Arabidopsis thaliana: one gene and its partners. The protein of the gene in region 1 interacts with the protein of each later gene in a biochemical or structural test. Each region holds a gene or a part of one and is shown in the gene's direction. Other genes may lie near its edges.

The links.
Region 2: the proteins of CUL3 (region 1) and AT1G21780 form a complex in vitro, tested with the Arabidopsis thaliana proteins (one study listed by BioGRID).
Region 3: the proteins of CUL3 (region 1) and BT3 form a complex in vitro, tested with the Arabidopsis thaliana proteins (one study listed by BioGRID).
Region 4: the proteins of CUL3 (region 1) and BT5 form a complex in vitro, tested with the Arabidopsis thaliana proteins (one study listed by BioGRID).

Annotation. Positions count from the first base shown.
Region 1 is NC_003070.9:9,292,916-9,299,129, forward strand, and holds CUL3 (cullin 3), read left to right. Parts: upstream 1-2,649; 5' UTR 2,650-3,016; intron 3,017-3,137; 5' UTR 3,138-3,147; coding exon 3,148-3,308; intron 3,309-3,421; coding exon 3,422-5,459; 3' UTR 5,460-5,714; downstream 5,715-6,214. Other genes in the region: RNS3 (ribonuclease 3), read right to left, coding at 1-68, 169-367, 479-634, 718-807; ORC6 (origin recognition complex protein 6), read left to right, coding at 5,907-6,026, 6,121-6,167. UniProt on the Arabidopsis thaliana protein: Component of the cullin-RING ubiquitin ligases (CRL), or CUL3-RBX1-BTB protein E3 ligase complexes which mediate the ubiquitination and subsequent proteasomal degradation of target proteins.
Region 2 is NC_003070.9:7,649,908-7,655,156, forward strand, and holds AT1G21780 (BTB/POZ domain-containing protein), read left to right. Parts: upstream 1-2,019; 5' UTR 2,020-2,090; coding exon of another isoform or gene 2,091-2,342; 5' UTR 2,343-2,568; coding exon 2,569-2,681; intron 2,682-2,760; coding exon 2,761-2,906; intron 2,907-3,146; coding exon 3,147-3,262; intron 3,263-3,353; coding exon 3,354-3,959; 3' UTR 3,960-4,107; downstream 4,108-5,249. Other genes in the region: FBP7 (F-box protein 7), read left to right, coding at 1-101, 196-409, 544-617, 712-765, 861-968, 1,057-1,115, 1,347-1,557, 1,647-1,706; AT1G21770 (Acyl-CoA N-acyltransferases (NAT) superfamily protein), read right to left, coding at 1,936-2,019, 2,091-2,342; AT1G21790 (TRAM, LAG1 and CLN8 (TLC) lipid-sensing domain containing protein), read left to right, coding at 4,450-4,708, 4,986-5,249. UniProt on the Arabidopsis thaliana protein: May act as a substrate-specific adapter of an E3 ubiquitin-protein ligase complex (CUL3-RBX1-BTB) which mediates the ubiquitination and subsequent proteasomal degradation of target proteins.
Region 3 is NC_003070.9:1,704,375-1,710,181, forward strand, and holds BT3 (BTB and TAZ domain protein 3), read left to right. Parts: upstream 1-2,361; 5' UTR 2,362-2,821; intron 2,822-3,269; 5' UTR 3,270-3,434; coding exon 3,435-3,653; intron 3,654-3,730; coding exon 3,731-3,861; intron 3,862-3,937; coding exon 3,938-4,552; intron 4,553-4,628; coding exon 4,629-4,758; 3' UTR 4,759-4,986; downstream 4,987-5,807. Other genes in the region: UGT74E2 (Uridine diphosphate glycosyltransferase 74E2), read right to left, coding at 1-265; AT1G05700 (Leucine-rich repeat transmembrane protein kinase protein), read left to right, coding at 5,422-5,509, 5,609-5,807.
Region 4 is NC_003075.7:17,669,571-17,674,404, reverse strand, and holds BT5 (BTB and TAZ domain protein 5), read left to right. Parts: upstream 1-2,051; 5' UTR 2,052-2,250; intron 2,251-2,405; 5' UTR 2,406-2,412; coding exon 2,413-2,634; intron 2,635-2,725; coding exon 2,726-2,856; intron 2,857-2,950; coding exon 2,951-3,257; intron 3,258-3,352; coding exon 3,353-3,799; 3' UTR 3,800-3,924; downstream 3,925-4,834. Other genes in the region: AT4G37608 (uncharacterized protein), read right to left, coding at 3,976-4,068, 4,217-4,282, 4,375-4,447, 4,549-4,580. UniProt on the Arabidopsis thaliana protein: May act as a substrate-specific adapter of an E3 ubiquitin-protein ligase complex (CUL3-RBX1-BTB) which mediates the ubiquitination and subsequent proteasomal degradation of target proteins.

The DNA of each region.
Region 1 (6,214 bases):
CCCAACTACTTGTTTGATCGTATTCTCAATATCTTTCATTTCATAAAATTTATCATCCGGTTTGATCCCTACATCATGCAACACAAAATATAATAAGAAAAGAACATCCACTTATACATAACTAACAATGGAGATCAAAATGAAGGGCAAAACAAGTGAATATTGTACCAGCATTGGTAAGGGCATGAAGGAGATTAGCTTTCTGTTTGAGCTTGAGACCAGCTTCGAAGTAATCGTGTTGGTCAAGCTCGGACTCAGCGCACGTACCGTGTTTCTCCCACTCATGTGTCCAAAACTTCATACCATCATTGCTCGGACACGACAACGTTGGCCATTCTCTTTGTAAATCGCTCATCAGATCAGAAACCTTTATAAAAGTTTTCGATTCTCATTAGTTATTTACGATTCTTTTCTTGTGGTTAATAATTTCCGAAGTCCCAAAATACAAAAACTATTGTGTTATAAGTTAAAAACAAACCCGTAAATCATCAAATCGACTGTCAGGATTACAATTTTGCGGCCATCCACCGGTTTTGTAGTTAGGCCAAAGACCGTGAATTCCAAAATCTGCAGCTGGTTTACCGGTTTGTGGATAGCAACAACTATGTCTTGAATCACAATACGCTCCAGGCCACTGCATTGCAACGCACATACACAAACATAAAATTTCAAAGTACAATGATAATTCTTGTAGAGACATTTATCGACTTTAATTACCTGTAAAACGAAGTAGAAGAAATCGAAATCTTGGGCGAAACTTTGTACGTAGAGTTGTTGTAACGCTAGAATAAAAATGAAGAATTTCATTTCCTCAAGATATCAAATAATTTGTGGGAATCAAATTTGTCGAAAACCAATGAAGGATGGATGATAGATAAATAGTTTAGAATATGTTTATATAAGTCATATAACGTGAAGTGTGATATTTTGTTTTGGGTAGAGAGACGTGACGTGTGATTGGTATATGTTTGCTTAATTGTGTTAGGTTAGTATTTCGTGCAAGCATTTTATTTTCAGCTCCAATGCTTTAAAAAGTAATAACGTAAGGCAAACTTTTCATCATGCTTCAACTACAAAATTATGAGTATTTTGTAGCTCCAATTAACGTAACGTAAGGCAAACTTTCCAGCTCCAATGTTTTAGAGCTAGCCGAATATTATGTGTCTCAGTATTTATAAAATTATGAGTATTCGATTGGAAAAATAAATAAAGAAACTCTTATAGTATTCACTTAAAGACCTTTGTTTCTTAAATTTTAAATATTTAAATCCACTTAAAGATCCTTGTTTCTCATAAAGTGTTAAAGACCCATAAAGGCATAAATCAAACCATTGTCCCGTCTCGGAAACGTACGTCAAGTTTCTTGATGAGGCGCATGTTGGCTACTTGGTTCTACTTCTACAGTTACAGACTCCAGTGTGTACCGTATTCTATCAAGTTCTGCATTTATGCAAGAACCTTAGGTATCACAAATATTTGGGGGCAATAAAATTATAAAAATTCCTTACAGTGCAGCGATTTATGTCACATTTTCAGCCAAGAGGTTGTGTGTTCGAGTTCCCTCAACTACTTCTGCTAATTTTTTTATTAAAAAAAAAAAACTTTAGACCGCCCATAACTTTGAGCCGGCAATGATCCTACCTCACAATCATACTAAAATCTACCAATGATCCTTACCATGTTTTGGCGCTTGAGGTGGATACGAATAATCCACTAGTTGGGTTAACCTTATAGGGAAGGTGAAGATTGTTATAAAGTTTGTAGATTATACAATGAAAAGTAAGAAGATAGGTCCAAGTCAAAGTTTGTATGATTAAAACAAGAAAGATGGTATATACCATGCGTTGCTTTCCAGAAAATGGCTTCAAGAAAGCAAAGACAAAGAATATCATCATGAGCTTGACCAGGGATAAGGAAGAAGATCCATTGACGTGTTTACAACGACAAAAACTAGTTAGAAGTTAGAACATAGTGTCGCTGAAGTTGTGGAGGAAATGCATTTTTTAAACAGATGCATAGAGACGATTGAATATGGCATCGAAACAGTGAATGCAAGCAACAAAGGTTGGTAAACTGGTGAAGAGAAAGGTAACAGACGATATAACTTTTTTTGTGAATGAATTAAAAGGGATTTTTTTTTTTCGTCAAGAAGCTGAAATTTCATTAAACCGAAACTTAAACCGATACATAAGTTGGTACAATAAGTGCATAATTTAATGCAGATTTTGCATATGCATATGCACAACCGTTTTTTTCTCTAAAAATGAAGTGAAAAGAAATTTGATCGAAATTAAACGAAAGAGCAAGAACATCTTGGAAAATCACGTAGAGATTCTTTGGGAAGGATTCTGAGTTGATAGCTTTGATCAGCGTTTGCAAATCTGAAGCGAAGGTGACTTCCTAAAACCGAGTTCTAAGGCATTTTGTTGGGCTAGATGAAGCGCCATGGCTTCTGCCAAAAGAGGAGAAGCAACATTCGCCACTCTAAGGGATTCAAAGCCTCTTTATGAAATAGAAGTTGACATATTTTTAGTTCAATTAAATGAAATGACCGACGTGCCAATTTGTCATATCCACATAAGTATAAAAGCTAACTAAACCTCCAATGTCAAAAAAAAAAAAATAACTGGCTTCGACTAGGGATCGATCCTTGGACTTCGATATTTCACAATTCTTTGTAACCAATATACCAAAGGACGAGAATGTGACAACCGCGACTTTAATTTAATAAATACGTTATAGTTTGGAAACCACCAGCAGAGACGGAGAGTCCACTTTTATTTCTTCCGCTCCGTTTGGTCTGTCCTCTTCTTCTTCTCCACCTTCGAAATCTATCTTCTCCGATACCTCTCTATCTATATCTCTTCGACGCTGCAAATTAGCCTTAAGCTTCTTTCTCCTTTAAACTTTTCGATTATTATTCCATTTCCTATCTTTTTGTTTCCCCCAAATCTTTTCACGGAAGCAAAGAATACAATTCCAAACCCTAATCCCGATCATCCGTCTTTCCTCTCCGGTCAGTCTTCCGATTTCCTCGATCCACCTGATTTTCATTATGATTATACATATATACTTTCTTCTCGCTCGTCAATTTTTTCGTTGCTGTGTGAATTTAGATTGATTTGTTTTGGATTCAGGTTTCAAAATATGAGTAATCAGAAGAAGAGGAATTTTCAGATAGAGGCGTTTAAGCATCGAGTCGTTGTGGATCCCAAATACGCTGATAAAACTTGGCAGATTCTTGAGCGTGCGATCCATCAGATTTACAATCAAGATGCTAGCGGTCTCAGTTTCGAAGAACTTTACAGGTCAATTTCTTTCATTCTCTTGCCTTTCTTTGAATCCTGTAGAAACTGGTAATGTTTCTGGAACTTAGCTAGGTTTCGTGTTAATGGAATTATTTGTGTATATTGTGGCTCAGAAATGCGTACAACATGGTCCTGCACAAGTTTGGTGAGAAGCTATATACTGGGTTTATTGCTACTATGACTTCTCATCTCAAAGAAAAATCCAAGCTTATCGAGGCAGCTCAGGGAGGGTCGTTTCTAGAAGAGCTTAATAAGAAATGGAATGAGCACAACAAAGCGTTAGAGATGATTCGAGACATTCTCATGTATATGGATAGGACTTATATTGAGAGCACCAAAAAGACTCATGTTCATCCGATGGGGCTTAACTTGTGGAGGGATAATGTTGTGCATTTCACTAAGATACATACAAGGCTTCTAAACACTCTTCTTGATCTAGTGCAGAAGGAACGGATAGGTGAAGTTATTGATAGGGGGTTGATGAGGAATGTCATTAAGATGTTTATGGATTTGGGTGAATCTGTGTATCAGGAGGATTTTGAGAAGCCGTTTTTGGATGCGTCTTCTGAGTTTTATAAGGTTGAGTCTCAGGAGTTTATTGAATCTTGTGATTGTGGGGACTATCTGAAGAAATCAGAGAAACGCCTTACTGAAGAGATAGAGAGGGTAGCGCACTACTTAGATGCCAAGAGCGAAGAGAAGATTACTAGTGTGGTTGAGAAAGAGATGATTGCCAACCACATGCAGAGACTGGTTCACATGGAGAACTCAGGTCTGGTTAATATGCTTCTGAATGACAAGTATGAGGATTTGGGTAGAATGTACAACTTGTTTCGCAGGGTTACTAATGGTCTTGTTACTGTCAGAGACGTTATGACTTCGCATCTTAGGGAGATGGGAAAACAACTGGTTACTGATCCGGAAAAGTCAAAGGATCCGGTGGAATTTGTACAACGTCTATTGGATGAGCGGGATAAATATGACAAAATCATCAACACCGCATTTGGCAATGATAAAACCTTTCAGAATGCCCTGAATTCTTCATTCGAGTATTTCATCAACTTGAATGCTCGTTCTCCTGAGTTTATCTCCCTGTTTGTTGATGACAAGCTACGGAAAGGACTTAAGGGTATCACCGATGTGGATGTTGAGGTTATCCTTGATAAAGTGATGATGCTGTTCCGTTATTTACAAGAGAAAGATGTCTTTGAGAAGTACTACAAGCAGCATTTGGCTAAAAGGCTTCTCTCAGGCAAAACTGTGTCAGATGACGCAGAAAGGAGTTTAATAGTGAAACTAAAGACAGAATGTGGCTATCAGTTCACTTCAAAATTGGAAGGCATGTTCACTGACATGAAGACTTCAGAGGACACAATGCGTGGGTTTTATGGCAGTCACCCCGAGCTTTCAGAAGGACCTACACTTATTGTTCAGGTACTTACAACTGGTTCTTGGCCAACACAGCCTGCAGTACCTTGTAATCTCCCAGCTGAAGTTTCAGTTCTCTGTGAGAAGTTCCGTTCTTACTACCTTGGGACACATACCGGTAGAAGATTGTCCTGGCAAACAAACATGGGCACAGCAGATATCAAAGCCATCTTTGGAAAGGGTCAGAAACATGAACTGAACGTGTCGACTTTCCAGATGTGTGTTCTCATGTTGTTCAACAATTCTGATCGACTCAGCTACAAAGAGATCGAACAGGCTACAGAAATCCCGGCAGCAGATCTTAAACGCTGTTTGCAGTCGCTAGCTTGTGTAAAGGGCAAAAACGTGATAAAGAAAGAACCCATGAGCAAAGACATAGGAGAGGAGGATTTGTTCGTTGTGAACGACAAGTTCACTAGCAAGTTTTACAAAGTGAAGATCGGAACTGTGGTTGCCCAAAAGGAAACAGAACCGGAGAAGCAAGAGACGAGACAGAGAGTGGAGGAAGACAGAAAACCTCAGATTGAAGCAGCCATCGTAAGGATCATGAAGTCCAGGAAAATACTAGACCACAACAACATAATCGCCGAGGTGACGAAACAGTTGCAGCCACGGTTCCTAGCTAATCCCACGGAGATAAAGAAGAGAATCGAGTCGCTCATTGAACGAGATTTCTTGGAAAGGGATAGTACAGACCGGAAACTTTACCGCTATCTAGCCTAAATAAGTTGAATACCACAACCCAAAAAAAAAAGGCTTTACTCTGTTTCTTTCTTTGCTTTATTTCCTTATGTTTGATGTAAAATCTTTTGAACTGTACGGTAGTCGGTAAGAACGAACCAACACAGCGTCACTACCGGTTTAATCGAATATACATTTGTTTCCTTTTCTTTTGTCTTTCATCAGATACCGTATGTGATTTCAGCTTCTGGACACGTTGGGCCGGCTCGAGGCCTTTTAAGGCCCATTTTAAACGGTTAAGAGCCAAAAAAAACATTCGCGGCTAAAATTTCAACCAGGCGTAAAAAAATCCCGCCAAACGTTGGCAACGCTTTGTTTATAGCGTTTTCATAGCCTAATCGGTTCCATTGACATTTCTAGGGGAAAAAATCTCTCACAGTGTCTGACTTTGGTTCTTTGTCTTGTAACAATCGCCGGAAAATTAAGGATATGGATATCTCCGACATAGGTAGGAAACTTAGTCTCGATAACAACAAGCTTTTAATCAGAAAAGCTGCAGAGATCCGCCGTCTTTGCGATGCTCAGTTCGATTCATCCATCATCGGCGTTGTAAGATAAATCCGATTCTGAATCCCAAAGTTTCACATCGAGTACTTTGATTATAATTTTTCCTTATGTGTTGAGAATTTGATTTTTCTATCAGGGTGAGATCTGTAAAGCTGTGATTTGTCTAGAAATCGCCGCCACTAGGTAAATAATTATCGTAATTGATTTATAACGATTTCAATATCCATAGT
Region 2 (5,249 bases), 1.6 Mb from region 1:
TCCATGTGAGGCCTGTGCCACCATTCGGAAGTACAAGCCGTAAACCTCATTTTGATCCAGCTTTGATTCATCGTTGCTTGCCTGATGAGCTTCTTTTCGAGGTTGGAGCTTTCTTTATACTATGTTTTGTCATTGTACTGAAATTTGTTTTTCTTATGTACTGGAGAAGTTGATTCTTGGATATGTTACTTGTAGGTGTTTGCTCGGATGATGCCTTATGACTTAGGTAGAGCATCTTGTGTTTGTAGAAAGTGGAGGTACACAGTTCGAAACCCTATGTTCTGGCGTAATGCCTGCTTGAAAGCTTGGCAGACTGCTGGGGTTATCGAAAACTATAAGATCTTGCAGTCTAAATATGATGGATCATGGAGGAAAATGTGGCTTCTTAGATCCAGAGTTCGTACTGATGGTAATCTTTCTTTCTTCATCCTCTTGCTTCACGACATTCTAGCGCCAAGTGATTGTTTTCTTTTGTATGCTCTGACTAACATCGTGTCTTGTTATATCTTTATTGATTAAAGTAACTATGTATCTTCTTCTCAGGTCTTTATGTGAGTAGGAATACTTACATTCGAGCTGGAATTGCTGAGTGGAAGATTACAAATCCAGTTCACATTGTAAAGTCTTTGTCTTTTTCTTTCTTTTCTTCTTCATCTGTCCAATACAGACACATATAATAATCTGCGTCTTCTTTTGGAAAATTTGTTGCAGGTTTGTTACTACCGCTACATAAGGTTCTACCCTTCTGGCAGATTTCTTTACAAGGTTTGCACTCTTCGATATAAGTAGGTATAAACGTTGAGCTACTGGTGGGATCTAGTCTGATAATGATCCATCCGTATTTGTTGTTATTCCTTCAGAACTCTTCACAGAAATTGAAGGATGTTGCCAAGTACATGAACTTTAAGGCTTCTAAATCTGAAAATCTTTACAAAGGCACTTATACACTGTCAATGTCGGATGATAAGGTTAGCTCCCTCTACTGCCTTTTGGCTGGTAATCAACAACATTACATCTTCATAATCCTGATTACTGAAAAACATGTTCTTTTTGCAGATCGAAGCAGCTGTTCTGTACCCAGGGACACGCCCTACTGTCTTAAGGATTCGTTTAAGGTACTTCAATCCCTCAAAATATGTGGATAGAGAAGACTTCTTTTTAGTAATAGCATTTAGAACCTTGGTCTGGCATTGGGAAGAAGGCCTGTTACTTATCTTTTAAAGTACCGTGTCTAGTACATTCATCTAAGACTTATCTGATCCGGTGAATGTGATGGGGTTGAAATTTTTAGTAGCTGATAGTCATTTTGATCTTCTTGGTGTGGATATGTTTTCGGGTGTGGTTAGGTTAAGAGGAACAGCTATTGGAGCGAATAACAGGATGGATTTGCTGTCACTTGTGACAAGTGGTGTGAACGATGAGGAAATAAGCAGCACAGAAGAAGACATTCTTGGGTTAGTTGAAGGTTGGGAAGACGATGAAACTCACAACCCGGATATACCTGCCGTCTCACACAAGAGGGGTATGACTGCATTCGTCTTCGTTCCTTTCGAAGAGGTAAGTAAACTATAAATTATTGTATACTCTTCCCACCTATAATCTTAGTTACATTGATTTGATCTGAATATCTTCCTTGATGTTATTAGGTTGACGAATCGGTTCTGAACTTGCCACCGGAGAAAATGGATTACTATGTCACTGGCTAAAGAGACACATCGAAGTTTCTGTACAAAAATGTATCATAGAATAATGTTTTCACGTTATATTTATTGTTACGACAAACATTAGTGTTTGTTTGTTGCTGTCGAATTGTGAAAAACATACATTTTGGGATTTTTGTTTGTTTACAGAGATTACTTGAAACAAGCTTTACTATTGTAAGATAATGTTTTCAAGTTTTTATTATACACCAAAAGGCTTTAAAGCAGGACTTGATCAGATGCTAGACTTGAGGTTCTTGGAATCATCCTCTGAGTGAACCAGACGCTGCCACGTTGGGTTTCGATGAAGAAACGTTTCCTGCAAAACACGACATATTTTCATAAGAATCTGATTCATCTCAATTTTTTGAGGAAAGAAGAGATGTATACGGAAACGTAGGAGCAAGTGGGGATGATGGAGAAAGAGTGTTCAGAGGCGTGTTCGAAAGCGGCGACGCATAGATGCGAAGCTAAACCAAGTCCTGCTTTTGACGGCGGTACGAAGGTTCGAACCAGATCCATGACTTTACCGTCATTCTTCATCTTGTACTCTATGAAGGCTTCGTGATCATCAGTCTCGAATCTATGTCTTCCTTCGTTCCACACGATCTTCGGTTTCTCCGTCGCCGTCCCCGTCGCCATTTTATCTGTTATCTCTCTAAGTCTAAGTCCACTCTCTTTCATTTCAAACCGAGAATTGATTTTAATATATCGTTAGTAAACCGGTTTAATGGATAAAAACGTATAATCGTCGTACACGTGGCAGGCGATGGAGGCGGCAGAGTGTTTTGCTTGCTTCGTCGTGTTATTTGGCGTGAAGTAAAGAGTTCAGAGAGAAAAGGAAGTCAAAACTTCAGAGAGAAAGTGGATGGGGGACACGAAGGTAGAGACAATCTCGAGGTTAGCTCAATGGAGAATTGAAAATTTTGGTCCTTGTTCTTTCAAAAAGTCCGATCCTTTCAAAGTCGGAATTTGGAATTGGTAAGCTTTTCATTTTTGGTTTATTTTGGTAAATTTTCTTCGGAATTTTGATTTTTGTTTGTTTTGGGATATGATGAAGGCATCTGTCTATAGAGAGGAATCGCTATCTATCAGTGAGGCTATTCCCAGAACTTTCTCGAGTATCTAAAGAGCAACCTCCTGTTGCCAAATTTGTTCTTCGTGTCTCCAACGTTGGCCCCAATCGTAGATTCTACATCTCTCCTGGTATGTCTTGTCTTTGAATTGACTTTTCTGGATTTGGAATTTGAATTCTATTGTCGAGCTCGAATTAGGTATTTCAGGAAAGGGAATTACCTTTTATGTGGGAACTATATTCAATTATGTGGAATCTGAAAGATATTAATTTAGATGTTAATGATTGGCTGATGATTAGTAGTACCTTATGGGATGGTTACAACTGAATTAGGTTTGTTTAAGCTGAGATACTCTGTTTATTTGGTGCAGTTTATGAGAAGCTGCTGCGTACAACTGATGATTGTGTGTGGCATGTTGACTCCAGTTTCCACGGTCGATTCACCATTGATGTTGAGTTTCTTGATCTCAAAATCTGCCCTGTGAATGTAAGCTTAATGATTCTATTTATACTCTCACAATTTCTTCTCTTTGTAACATTTGTACTTCCATGGTTGATCAAATCAAATCATAATCCAGGGTGGTGAAGCTTCTCCTGTTTGGCCAACCGATGCAACAATGCAATCAATCTCTACTCAAACCACTCTCAAATGCTTATCCCGGATGCTAGAGGAAAGCATACTAACCGATGTAATCATCCACACAGCCGATGGAACACTCTCTGCTCACAAAGCTATCCTCTCAGCTAGCTCAACTGTTTTCAAAAGCATGTTCCACCACGACCTCATGGAAAAGGAATCATCCACAATCCACATAGACGACATGTCGAGAGAATCTTGCATGGCTCTACTAAGTTACCTCTACGGAAACATAACCCAAGAAGAGTTCTGGAAACACAGGCTCGCCCTCCTCGGCGCTGCAAACAAGTACGACATAACGGATTTGAAAGCAGCCTGCGAGGAGAGCCTAATGGAAGATATAAACTCGAGTAATGTGCTCGAGAGGCTACAAGAAGCTTGGCTTTATCAGCTGGAGAAACTGAAGAAAGGGTGTTTGATGTATTTGTTTGATTTCGGAAAGATTTATGATGTCAGAGAAGAAATCAGCAGTTTCTTCAGGCAAGCTGATCGAGAACTGATGCTGGAGATGTTTCAAGAGGTTTTGTCTGTGTGGAAACCGGTCTAATATACACTTACACACATACTTTGAACATTTCAGCTTGATGGTGTTTTGTTTATAGTCTTCTTGTTCTCTTCTGTGTGTGTAACTAACAACAACTCTGGATTTTGTTGTATCACTCTGTCTAATGTATAGTATTGAGTGGATTTGCCTCTAGTTTGGTGTACCGAGCCTCTCAAATGGGCCGAGCCTTTCAAATGGGCTGTGACTAGGCCTAATGACTGTCGACATCGAATGTCGGCACAAAATATGATAATTTTGTCGATGTTGAAATCGTACGTTTTTTGTTTTAATTAGATGAGTCAGCATCAGGAGGATGAAGTATCGACCGACACGTGTCCGTTGCGTCCCAAAGTAAAGCTTATAACGTGAAGGCATTTGTATCGTCTCTTCCGCCAAAATTGGAAATGGATATCGAAGTTTGAGCTAAGAATCCAATTTAGGGTTAACTTTGCCGGATTCTCAAGCAATCTCCGAGAGAGACAGTGAGGTTTCGATGGCGAGGAACGGGATTGGGAGTTCAGGAGGGAAGAAGAATGGGGCTGGGCAGTTTTTCTTAGCGACGCTGCTTCTTTGGCTTGTCTCCGTCGTGTTTGAGATTGCTTTCAATCTCCGGACGGAGCTTCTCTGGGTGATTTGCGGTGGATGCTTCTTTCAATTGATGAATTGGGTTGTTCGTTCATGGATTTCTCGTGACCCTATATTTGTTAATACCTCTGTCTCGCTTTTGCACTCAATCATCACCTCCGCATCAGGTCCCTTTCTCTCTTCTCTTATATTTGAGTTCTTACTATAGGATTGTGCTCTGTTAGTGGGGAAATTTTATCATAGGTGTGCACATTGGTCGTTGGTATTAGTCAATTTTCCTTTGGTGCTGTGTTTTCACGGTTTCATTGCTTAATGTGATTCTTATTTCCGATTGGATTAGTCTTATGATTGATTGCCATAGCTTGAGTATAATGCAGTTCTTTCTTCGTTAAGCCTTACTGATTATGATTTTTCATCTTCAACACTGCTCTTGTGTTACTACAGTGGTTTTCATACTTCTCAATCAATGCTTAGCCAAAGGTTTAGACGAGATGTTTGATCATTCTGAGTTGGTTGGTGGGACTTGGAAATGGGCATATCCAGCTTTGTGTTTCTCATGCGGCTACTTTGCATATGACCAGTGGGATATGCTTCAGTACCGGTTATACAGCGGCTTAATACCTTCTATTCTTGTTCACCATCTAGTCCTCCTTGTTTGCTTCACATTGGCACTATACCGAAATGTAACCATCAACTACCTTATTCTTA
Region 3 (5,807 bases), 7.6 Mb from region 1:
AGGTGTTTTTGATGCTGGTTTCTACTCTTTCCATGTAATCATCGAGGTCTTGTAATGGTTCCTCGCCTTCTTGGAAGCCGTTGGAGATGGGGAAGACAGTGATTGAGTCGTGCTCTGTTTTGTATGGAGGAGAGGGTTTGTCGGAGACGAGGACCAGAGTGAGCTTAAGACCTTTTGAGGCTAAGCGTTTGCAGAACTGGGACATTGGAGTTATGTGGCCTTGTCCTGGGAAAGGCAAGACGATAAGATGAGATCCTTCTCTCATTTTCTCCTTCTTTTTAATCTTGTGTTGTTACTGACTCTAGTTTTTGTTGTGTGGGTGTTGTTGGTGTGTGTTATGGATATATATATGATTGGATTAGAGAACGACTTCGATTTTACTACGGCTTTGGTGGGGGACTCATTAATTGGACTACAATCCAAAAATTGTCTATGTTCCGTGGCGACCAAGATGTGCGGAACAGTGACCGAGGTCGATGATAATGCAATTCACCGATATATGTTGACATAATTGTTTTAGTTTATTAGTTTATCGTTAGCATGTGACTTATGACATGTGATATATCAATATGTAACTCGCAACATACGTACGTGTATATCAGATTCTTTTTGTCATCTTCCCTGAGAGAGAGACACTGCATCTCAGCCTCTCAGCTATGTATTACTGTTGATGTCATTGCTTATGCAATCCGAATCCAAATTGTAAAATCAAAGAAAATTTTCTATTTCTTTCTATTTACATTACCTGTTAATTCGTCCCCAAATATTTTTGATGTCACTCATTATTACAAAGGAACAAAATAAGGAACCGAAAACAGAAATAATGGGAAAAAAGACTACTTCGACAACTTCCGGCCTTTTTATATTTAACGCCGTCCCACTTTGGAACCCAATCTATCCACGTGGAGCTCTATCACTGGTCATTCTTAATTCTCTGGAGTTCACAAATTTATGCAAGAAAATAAAAAAATTGATTTTGACCGCCTCCGAGTCTTTTTACAACTTTTTAATTCGAATTTTGATAACATCTATATATACATTTTTGGAGCTATTTTAGTAAATAAATCCTTAAGTTGGGACTTATTTACAGTGGATGTCATTGATATTTAATTATTATAACTAATTAATATTCTTAATTATTAGCATTTCTTTATCTAATATATTTCCATCAATTCTAATTACTTTTAAAAAGGAGAAATCTTAGGAATTTATTAATATTATACTTTATTAAAAATAAATATTATAGTTAGTTAAACATTTAAAATATTTAACGGAAAAACGTTTTATAATATTTATAATATGTGAAATGTATAAAAATTAAATAATCATTTGAAATAAAACTTTTAAATTGATGTGAATTATAAATTTTTTAATAAAAATATTATTCAAACAAAAAATAAAAAAATAATGTTTAATTTTACCGAACGAGATTAGATGATAAGACGGGTTTATAATATTTATAATATATGAATTTTAAAACAATTAAATAACCATTTAAAATAAAACTTTTAAACTGATTTGAATTATATATCTTTTAAATTAAAGTATTATTAAAACAAAAATAACAAAATAATTTTTAGTTTCGCTGAACGGGGTTAGATGGTATGACGAGTTTGGGTCGATAGGTAATACGAGACAGTATAGCATGGGTGAAATCTATTAGATATGTTTAATTTCACTGAACGAGATTAGATGATATGACGGCTTTGGATCGATAATAATACGAGACAGTATATCATGGGTGAAATCATATATATATATATATATATATATATATATATCAAAATATCATTATATTAATAAAATTAATATAATTAAAATTTGAATTATTTAGTTATAATCTAAATTTTAACTTAATAAACTGTGTGTTATTCTTTCTATATTGTTAAACAGTAAAAAATAAACATAGTAATTGTATACTAAATAATATATATATATATATATAAGAGTTGTACATTTAGAAAATATTAAAATGAATTATATTTATTTAATCTACTAAACAAATTAACTTTTTAGTTTTTAAAAAAGATATAACCCCGCGGTATACCGCAGATTAAAATCTAGTTAACTGATAATCTTGCTGCATAATATAGCCACCACTAAATTTACGGTTTACTATCAGAAATCTGTTTTGTTCTAAATTAAATTAAATTCCAAGATCTTTATTTTCCTTTACTTGACACAATCGTTTAATTATTTGTCATTTTATTTTCTTAATTTTTAACCTAAATTAATTAAAAAAAAAGATGACTTGACCCTTATTTCATTATTTGTATCATATTAATTGGTCGGTCGTCGGTGTTATATTTTCACCGGCTAGTCGGTAAAGATAATGTGCTTATATTTGGTGACAAGGATTCACTAACTTTGATCTTTGGTGCAATTGAAGATCAGCCATATGTATTTCAACCTTATATTATCCCCCAAATCATTCCAACTTTTATTTTATAAACATTCGTGGCCTTCATTTTTCCACTCTGTTGTTTTCTCATACTTTTAATAATTTCTTTTGCCCATTTGTCTTTATCATTCGAAGAACTCAGAAACAACTAACTCTTCATTCTTGATTCTCCCACTTAAACGACGGCGTTTTTGCTTAACGTTTATGTATGCAAGCAAATTTACATACTTTTCGTGACCTTTGGTTTCTGTGTTGTGTGATATTTACTACGAAACCACTTGTCACCAAAGGTTCTTCTTTCTGTTAGCGTTGGGTTCGTGATTCCAAGATCAATGGTTGTGAACTTCACTAGTTAGAGATACTGAATCAAAGAGATGATTCTTCCGAGAATTGGGTAAATCTTCGATTCTGATTTTCTGGGTAAGAATGATCAAGACCCTTCCTTTATTTTCTTTTTTTGTTCTTGCCTAATAATTCTTATTCTCTGAATTTGATTTCTTTCTTTTAATGACTCAGAATCTTCCGTATTGGATGTTTTTGTTCCTGTTCTTGATAATCTCTTTATGACTGTATCTCTACCTCTGGATTCTCACTGTCACTGATGTTCATGTCTAATGAAGCTTCTTTAATTTAGTCTTGTTCGTGTCACTGTTCGATATTTTTAAATCAAAAGTTGCTAACTTTGTGTCAATGATTTGCTTAAGTAGGACTATTTTGAGTTTATGGACATTTGATTCTTAAATTCTGAGGTTGCATCAGATTAGGGAACTTGAATCTTGGTTACTGTAAATTTACTAGGAGAAACCTGAGATTGACTATTAACTCTGATATATAACTTATGTTTGCTTCTTGCATTTGATCTTAACAGATTAAAGAACACGTAACCTATTTTCAATTCGCGGGTTTGATTCCATAGCTTCTTCAGATCATACATTCTCGCAAGTGTTCGATACGGGAGTAGAAGAAGAAGAGTCTTTCTATGCTCCTGATCATGATGTCTTGACTCTGCTTCAACCTAACTTCACCAGCAACGATGTCTAGTAGTACCAAGAACATTCCAAAACCTCCTCCTCTTCCTTGTATTACCTACCAGCGTTTTCAATCTAGTACAAGGAAACCTTCGAGCTTAATGCGCCTTGTGCCTAAAGAAGCACTTGAAACTTGGGATAAGCTTTTCAAGGAAGGATCTGGAGCAGATACATATGTTGAAACCGATAACAAGTCTCACTTTCCTGCCCATTCAAGTGTCCTGGTGAGTTTTATTAACTGGTAATTGAGCTCATTTTCCGGGCTTACTGATCAATATTACAAGGTTTTTGTCTTCTGCAGGCTGCAGCCTCACCAGTTATAGCGACACTTCTGAATCAATCGAGGGATAAGAATGGGAATACATACCTCAAAATCCATGGAGTTCCTTGTGAAGCAGTCTACATGTTCATTAGGTTTCTATACTCTTCCTGGTATGTTCTATGTGTTACAAATGCTTTCGTAATGCTTGTTTCTCCTTTGAACCATGCCTGATATTAAAACCTACAGCTACGAGGAGGAAGAAATGAAGAAGTTTGTGCTCCATTTATTGGTTCTGTCACATTGCTACTCGGTCCCATCTCTTAAAAGACTTTGTGTAGAGATTCTCGATCAAGGATGGATTAACAAGGAGAATGTGATCGATGTGCTTCAACTAGCGAGAAACTGTGACGTGACAAGGATTTGCTTTGTATGTCTTTCCATGGTCATCAAAGACTTCAAATCTGTATCTTCAACAGAGGGATGGAAAGTGATGAAACGCTCTAATCCTTTGCTCGAACAAGAGCTCATTGAGGCAGTCATCGAATCCGACAGTAGGAAACAAGAAAGAAGAAGAAAACTGGAGGAGAGAGAAGTGTATTTGCAGCTCTATGAAGCCATGGAAGCTCTTGTCCACATATGTCGTGAAGGTTGTGGGACAATTGGACCTCGCGATAAGGCCCTTAAAGGAAGCCATACCGTGTGTAAATTCCCGGCGTGTAAAGGGCTTGAAGGTGCGCTCAGACATTTCTTGGGATGCAAGTCTAGGGCTTCATGTTCTCATTGCAAAAGGATGTGGCAGCTTCTTCAGCTTCACTCTTGTATCTGTGATGATTCTAATTCTTGCAAAGTTTCTCTCTGCTGGTAAGTTATATCGCACATTTCAGACAACGCCAACAACCTTAAGATACAGATGGTAATCGTTTTCTTAACCTTGTAGGAATTTCAAGGAGAAAATGAAGAAGCTTAGCAAGAAAGAACAATCTAAATGGCGATTGCTTGTAGAAAACATTATTAGGGCGAGGAACAGTCTCGGGCCCTTCTCGTCACGTTCTTCTGGTTTGATATAGAAACAGGTTTTAGATTTTAGTGTATAGCCAGTTAGACACAAAAAGAAAACGTACATAGGCGCAGGGTATAGTGTATATTGCGCACCAATACGGCGCACAATAGTGGTTTTGAACAAACATTGTCTATATCAAGTTGGTTGTTATATACATGCCGAGTCGTGATTCGTGACAGTAATGTGAAGAAGTTTTTGCATCATCACTCATTTTATGTTAGAAATTCAAATCAATAATATTGGTCCTAAACGACTTTATTTAGAGGCAGACAAAAAAGATATACATTAATGTTATTTATATCATGATTGTCATGACTTAACATATTTCAAGTTGAGTTATCTAGTGAAAATATATATATCCTAGTTCATGAAAAATGAAAATCAACCTTCTTGAGTGTTATACTTCTTTTTGTAAGGATAATAATTGATATATACGGCGGGTCTCTCGTTGACTTTTGATGGTGATTTGACTTTGCAATGTCACCAAGAGCAAGTAGCTAATTTAAATCACTTTTAACTTCCAATTTGTTTATGTTTGGTCTTCAGACTTTACGTCAGAATAATTATTTTTGTGTCTTTAAATGAAAACTTCAAACTTCATCACATCAAAAATCTCAACCCCATTTTTAGTTGTCTTCTTTTTCCTTGTTTTTCAAGAAACCAGACGAAAATGGAAGAGTTTCGTTTTCTCTATTTGATATATTCAGCAGCATTTGCATTGTGTCTCGTCGTTTCTGTTCTTGCTCAAGACCAATCAGGTTTTCTTAACTGATTCATTTATCTTTCAAACTATTTTCTAGTGAAGAAAGTCTAATCCTTTATTCTTTTCATAACTTTAACTCGTTGCGTGATCACAGGTTTCATAAGCATCGATTGTGGAATTCCAAGTGGATCATCGTACAAAGACGACACAACAGGTATAAACTACGTCTCAGATTCATCCTTTGTCGAAACCGGAGTCTCCAAATCGATCCCTTTCACAGCTCAAAGACAGCTTCAAAACCTGAGGAGCTTTCCCGAAGGTTCAAGAAACTGCTATACATTGATTCCAATACA
Region 4 (4,834 bases), on another chromosome or scaffold:
TTCACAACAGTTGATCAAAGCCATCACCTCGAGAACTCCATTAACGGAGCTCCATGGAATCCTACACGATATTCTCCTCCTCGCGTCGGAGATTGGGTTTGTTAGGTTTCACTCTATCCCTCGAAATGAAAATCGACTTGCAGATGCCCTTTCAAAATTGGGTCTTGCTTCAATTTCGTCTTTGTACCCGGTTGACTCCGGTTTAAATGTTTAATTTCTAATGAAAACCAACTTTCGCACAAAAAAAAAAAAAAAAAAATGAACAAACAAAGTGTATACAATTCATTAATTTTCTACAACGACAACTCTACAAGTATTGATATGATGATAGATAAATTAGCTAAATAGTGAATAAAATGTCAGTTGTTTAATAGACCACGTTGAACATACACGTTTTAAAATCAAAACACAATCAATTTGTTGACGTGTTTAGACATATTCGATAGTTATTTATTTCACGGACACAGAAATAAATTAGTTTTTACTTTTAGTGATGGAGCTGTTATAGGCATGATTGTTGTACTTGTTAATAATTTCCCCTAATTTGTCATATTAGCAATCGTAAAAGAGAAAGTGCCTCATGAACTATATGAAGAGGTCAGCGTGAGCGTGCCAGCAACTTGAGAGATTCGTGACCAAGTATCTATCAAAAGAGCTCTATTATTTTTTGAGGCTGAGTCAGCGACTAATAATTTCGTTATTAAATTACCGCTTTTTCATTTGTTTAATCATACTTTTCGTATACTCTATGGTTAAATCGTTAATTTGTCGCGAAGAGGCAATGTGACGTTTTACACAACATAATCCAACAAATGAAACAAAAAGATATTACCATAACCTATTATTACCTATCACAATCTTACCTAATCTTTGTCGGTCTTTGAAATGGTACATTGCCCATCGCATAAAGGGGTATGGTGCGACTCCGGCTCGTAGCAGTTCCGTGGGTTGATGAATGGTTGTTTCAAAACAATAAATGTTTCAACTTGGACGAAGATAATAATTTCATGAAAACGAAACCATTACATGACTATCATCATTTCATTATAAGAATATAAACATGGACGAGCTCAACATTTATTTAGCTGACTCCTTCTTTTATCATGTGTTTTATATACAAATACATGACTAGGATCTGACACTGTAGTATTAGTATTACCAAATCTTAAACTAGACCTAATTTTCCCTGATAAAATAATTTAAGGTTATTTTATTCCGCTGACATTTAACATGGTATAATATATTTGGACGGTTCATTTCAAACATGTAGAATATTCTAATTAAATAGAAGAGACTTTATAATCATATTAATCAATATCGATAACGTATTATCCACAATGCAACTTATTACCCTTTTTGCCATGTTTTGTGAACCGCTTGGACCGTACACCAACCCCAAAATACGGTAGTTCAAATGCGGCTAGCAATGTATTTTGTTGATTCTAAAAAAAATTGTCGATTAGTTATATATATCAGACACTATCTAAAATACCCGTTTTAAGTATTTGGAATTAATAAAATAGTCAAAATTGGAATACTAATTTCCCATAATTACTAAACTTTTATTTTACTCGTTTTACTTATTATACTATCCGTTATGTACGAACTACATTTATGTCGTTTGTTTTATCTGTTTTACTCTAATTTGCACCGTCGAAACCATCAATCCACTAAAAAAAAGGGTAAATTGTAGGACTAATTAATGGATATCCATTAACACAACCATACATCTTAATATGAAATGTGTGTACCTTTTCCAAATATACGTCGTCGCCAACAACTATACAATGGATAATTAAATATAAAGCAGAACATTTGGATAAAGGCCAATATTTGATTAAAGACTTGGATATAATGTGAAGGCATATATTTGTTTTTGGATAGAATAAAACTAAAAAAAGTGTGTGCTTAGGAAAGTTCGTCCGACGTGTATATGAATCAGCAAATACTTATCTTGATCCTCTCCGTGTGGGTCCCATTTCGACGTGTTCACATTTTCCACCAATTAATCAATTTAGACCATTATAAATAGTCTCCCGCTCGCTTTGCTCTCTTCTTTCTCTTATTTTCCTATTCTTGAAAACACACAACACATCTCATTTCTCCGCTGTTTCGTCGGCAAATTTTCCCATTTTTGATTCCGAAGATAATAGATATTATCAACAGAGGATAAGGATAAAACCCAGAACAATCATTATAATTTAGTGGTGAAGTTGACCAAATTTATAAACTGATCCAATTTTAAAATCTGTAAGTCGTCAATATTTCTGTGTTTTTTTCTTAGATCTATAAAACTGAAATTCGTAAAATTTGTTAAATTCTCTTTCTTTAGATCCAATATTTGATCTCCTATGCATTTTCATACAGATTCTGAATCTGATTTTTTTTACCCTAACCTGTTACAGAAGAGATATGGAGAACATGGACGATTTCTCACCGGAGAATGTTTTAGCACCACCACCACCACCTCCTCCAATGAAGAAGTCAACGGATCTGTTTATGCAAAGAAGCAATAGCTTTGTTTCTAAAGCTACGAGAGATTCATGGGATCGTATGTTCGACGAAGCTCATGGAGCTGATGTTTTGATTCATACTGATGATAATGGTTTGATTTACGCACATTCTAATGTCATCGTAAGTTCTCTAATCCAATGCTTAGAAAAATCAGTAACATTGTTTTTTGTATTGAATCTTAATGAAGTTTTATCTGTTAAACTTTAATTAGGGAATGGCTTCAGATGTAATCAGAGGAATGATGAAGCAACATAAGAGAAAATCTCATCGTAAATCGATTTCAATCCTCGGTGTTCCTCACCACGCTCTTCGAGTTTTCATTCGATTCTTATACTCTTCTTGGTAAGTAGCAAAAGTTTTGGATTTTACAAATCTTTGGCTATAAACATTTAGGGATACATACTTAAACATTTTGTTTCTTGCTCTGTTTTTGTAGCTATGAGAAACAAGATATGGAGGATTTTGCAATACATCTACTTGTGTTATCACATGTCTACGTTGTACCGCATTTGAAGCGAGTCTGCGAATCAGAATTCGAAAGTAGTTTGCTCAACAAAGAGAATGTGATTGATGTGTTTCAGCTAGCTCTTCTATGTGATGCTCCTCGTCTCGGTCTTCTCTGTCATAGAATGATTCTAAACAACTTTGAAGAAGTTTCTACTTCTGAAGGATGGCAAGCAATGAAAGAGAGCCATCCTAGACTTCAAAAAGAGCTTTTACGCTCTGTCGCTTACGAGCTTAATGTAATTATACAAAATCTTAACAACTTTCTTTACCCCAAAGTCTTGTACTTTCACAGTTTTCTGATGATTTTTGTTTCAAAATTTTGTCTTTGCAGAGCTTGAAGCAAAGAAACAGGAAACAGAAGGAGATACAGACTTATACACAGCTCTATGAAGCAATGGAGGCTTTTGTTCATATATGTAGAGATGGATGCAGAGAAATAGGTCCAACAAAGACCGAAACCCCGCATATGTCATGCGGATTTCAAGCGTGTAATGGTTTAGAGCAGCTATTGAAACATTTGGCGGGATGCAAACTAAGATCAATCCCTGGTGGTTGTAGCCGTTGCAAGAGAATGTGGCAGCTTCTTGAGCTTCATTCGCGCATTTGCGTAGACTCGGAACAATGCAAAGTCCCTCTTTGCAGTAGTTTGAAAGAGAGGATGAAGACACAGAGCAGGAAAGATGAGAAAAGATGGAAACTTTTGGTGAGGAATGTTTTGAGCACCAAGAGAATTGGAGGATCTCCATTCTTTTTGCAAGCAATTGATGTTACTTTATGAGTTATGACATTATTATTTGATTGCTTTTAGATGTAGAAATTACATATTTATACATGTACATAGGTTGCAGATTCTTTGTAAAGATAGATTCAAAATTTTCAAACCTAAGATCCAATCTTTGGCCCATTCAATCCCGGCCCAAAACCGGCCCGGTCTATCATAGAAAGTTGAGTTCTTCAATGTTCTTCATCATTAGTAGTTACAGTTGAAGGAGATGAAGCTTCAATTGTTTCTCTTCCCTCCAACACATTTTGAGTTTCCTCCATTTTCTGCAAAACCAATACATAAGCACAATGATAAGAATGTGAGAATAAATCAAATCAAGACGTAATGGCACTCAACCACACGGTCTTTAAGGTCCTCGAAAATCCTGTCGTTATTCTCTGTCGAAAAGTATGTTCAAGAAGAGAGCATTACCTTTTTATTTAAACTATGAGTGTTCATAAGCTCATAGAGTTTACGCATCATCGTCTCATGTTCAACCTGAAACAAAAGATAAAATCACAAGTTTAACGATCTCTGGTCTTTAACTACACATCACAAGCTCATTAAAAGAGTTTTTTTATTCATCATACCTCAAGTTTTTGGAGTTCTTGCAACATGTTCTTTTGAGCTTCTTTGAGTAATTCAGTCTGTTTCTCCAAATGCCTTTTTGACAAAAAAAAATTAAAAAAGGTTAACAACGGGTAAATTAAGTAAACAGATTACGGGGGACAAAGAAGCTAAAAATTTGAATAAATGAGAATTACTTCAACACATCATCGGTATGTTGCGGTTCCATCCTCACAAATGATCAAGCTTTATTGCAAATCAGAATGCTGTTGATACCTCGTAATCGTGTAGGTGTTCTACATCATTAACTAAAAGTAAAATCTGATCAGCGACACAATAACTTATAACTAAAATCTCCCAACATAAGACTTTCTTCTTTCTAACAAGATTATACTCCTCCACTGTCCACATTGATAATATTTGACTTGGGCACAATCATACATACAAATAGATCAGAGATTCAAAATCTGGACATTCAAATTC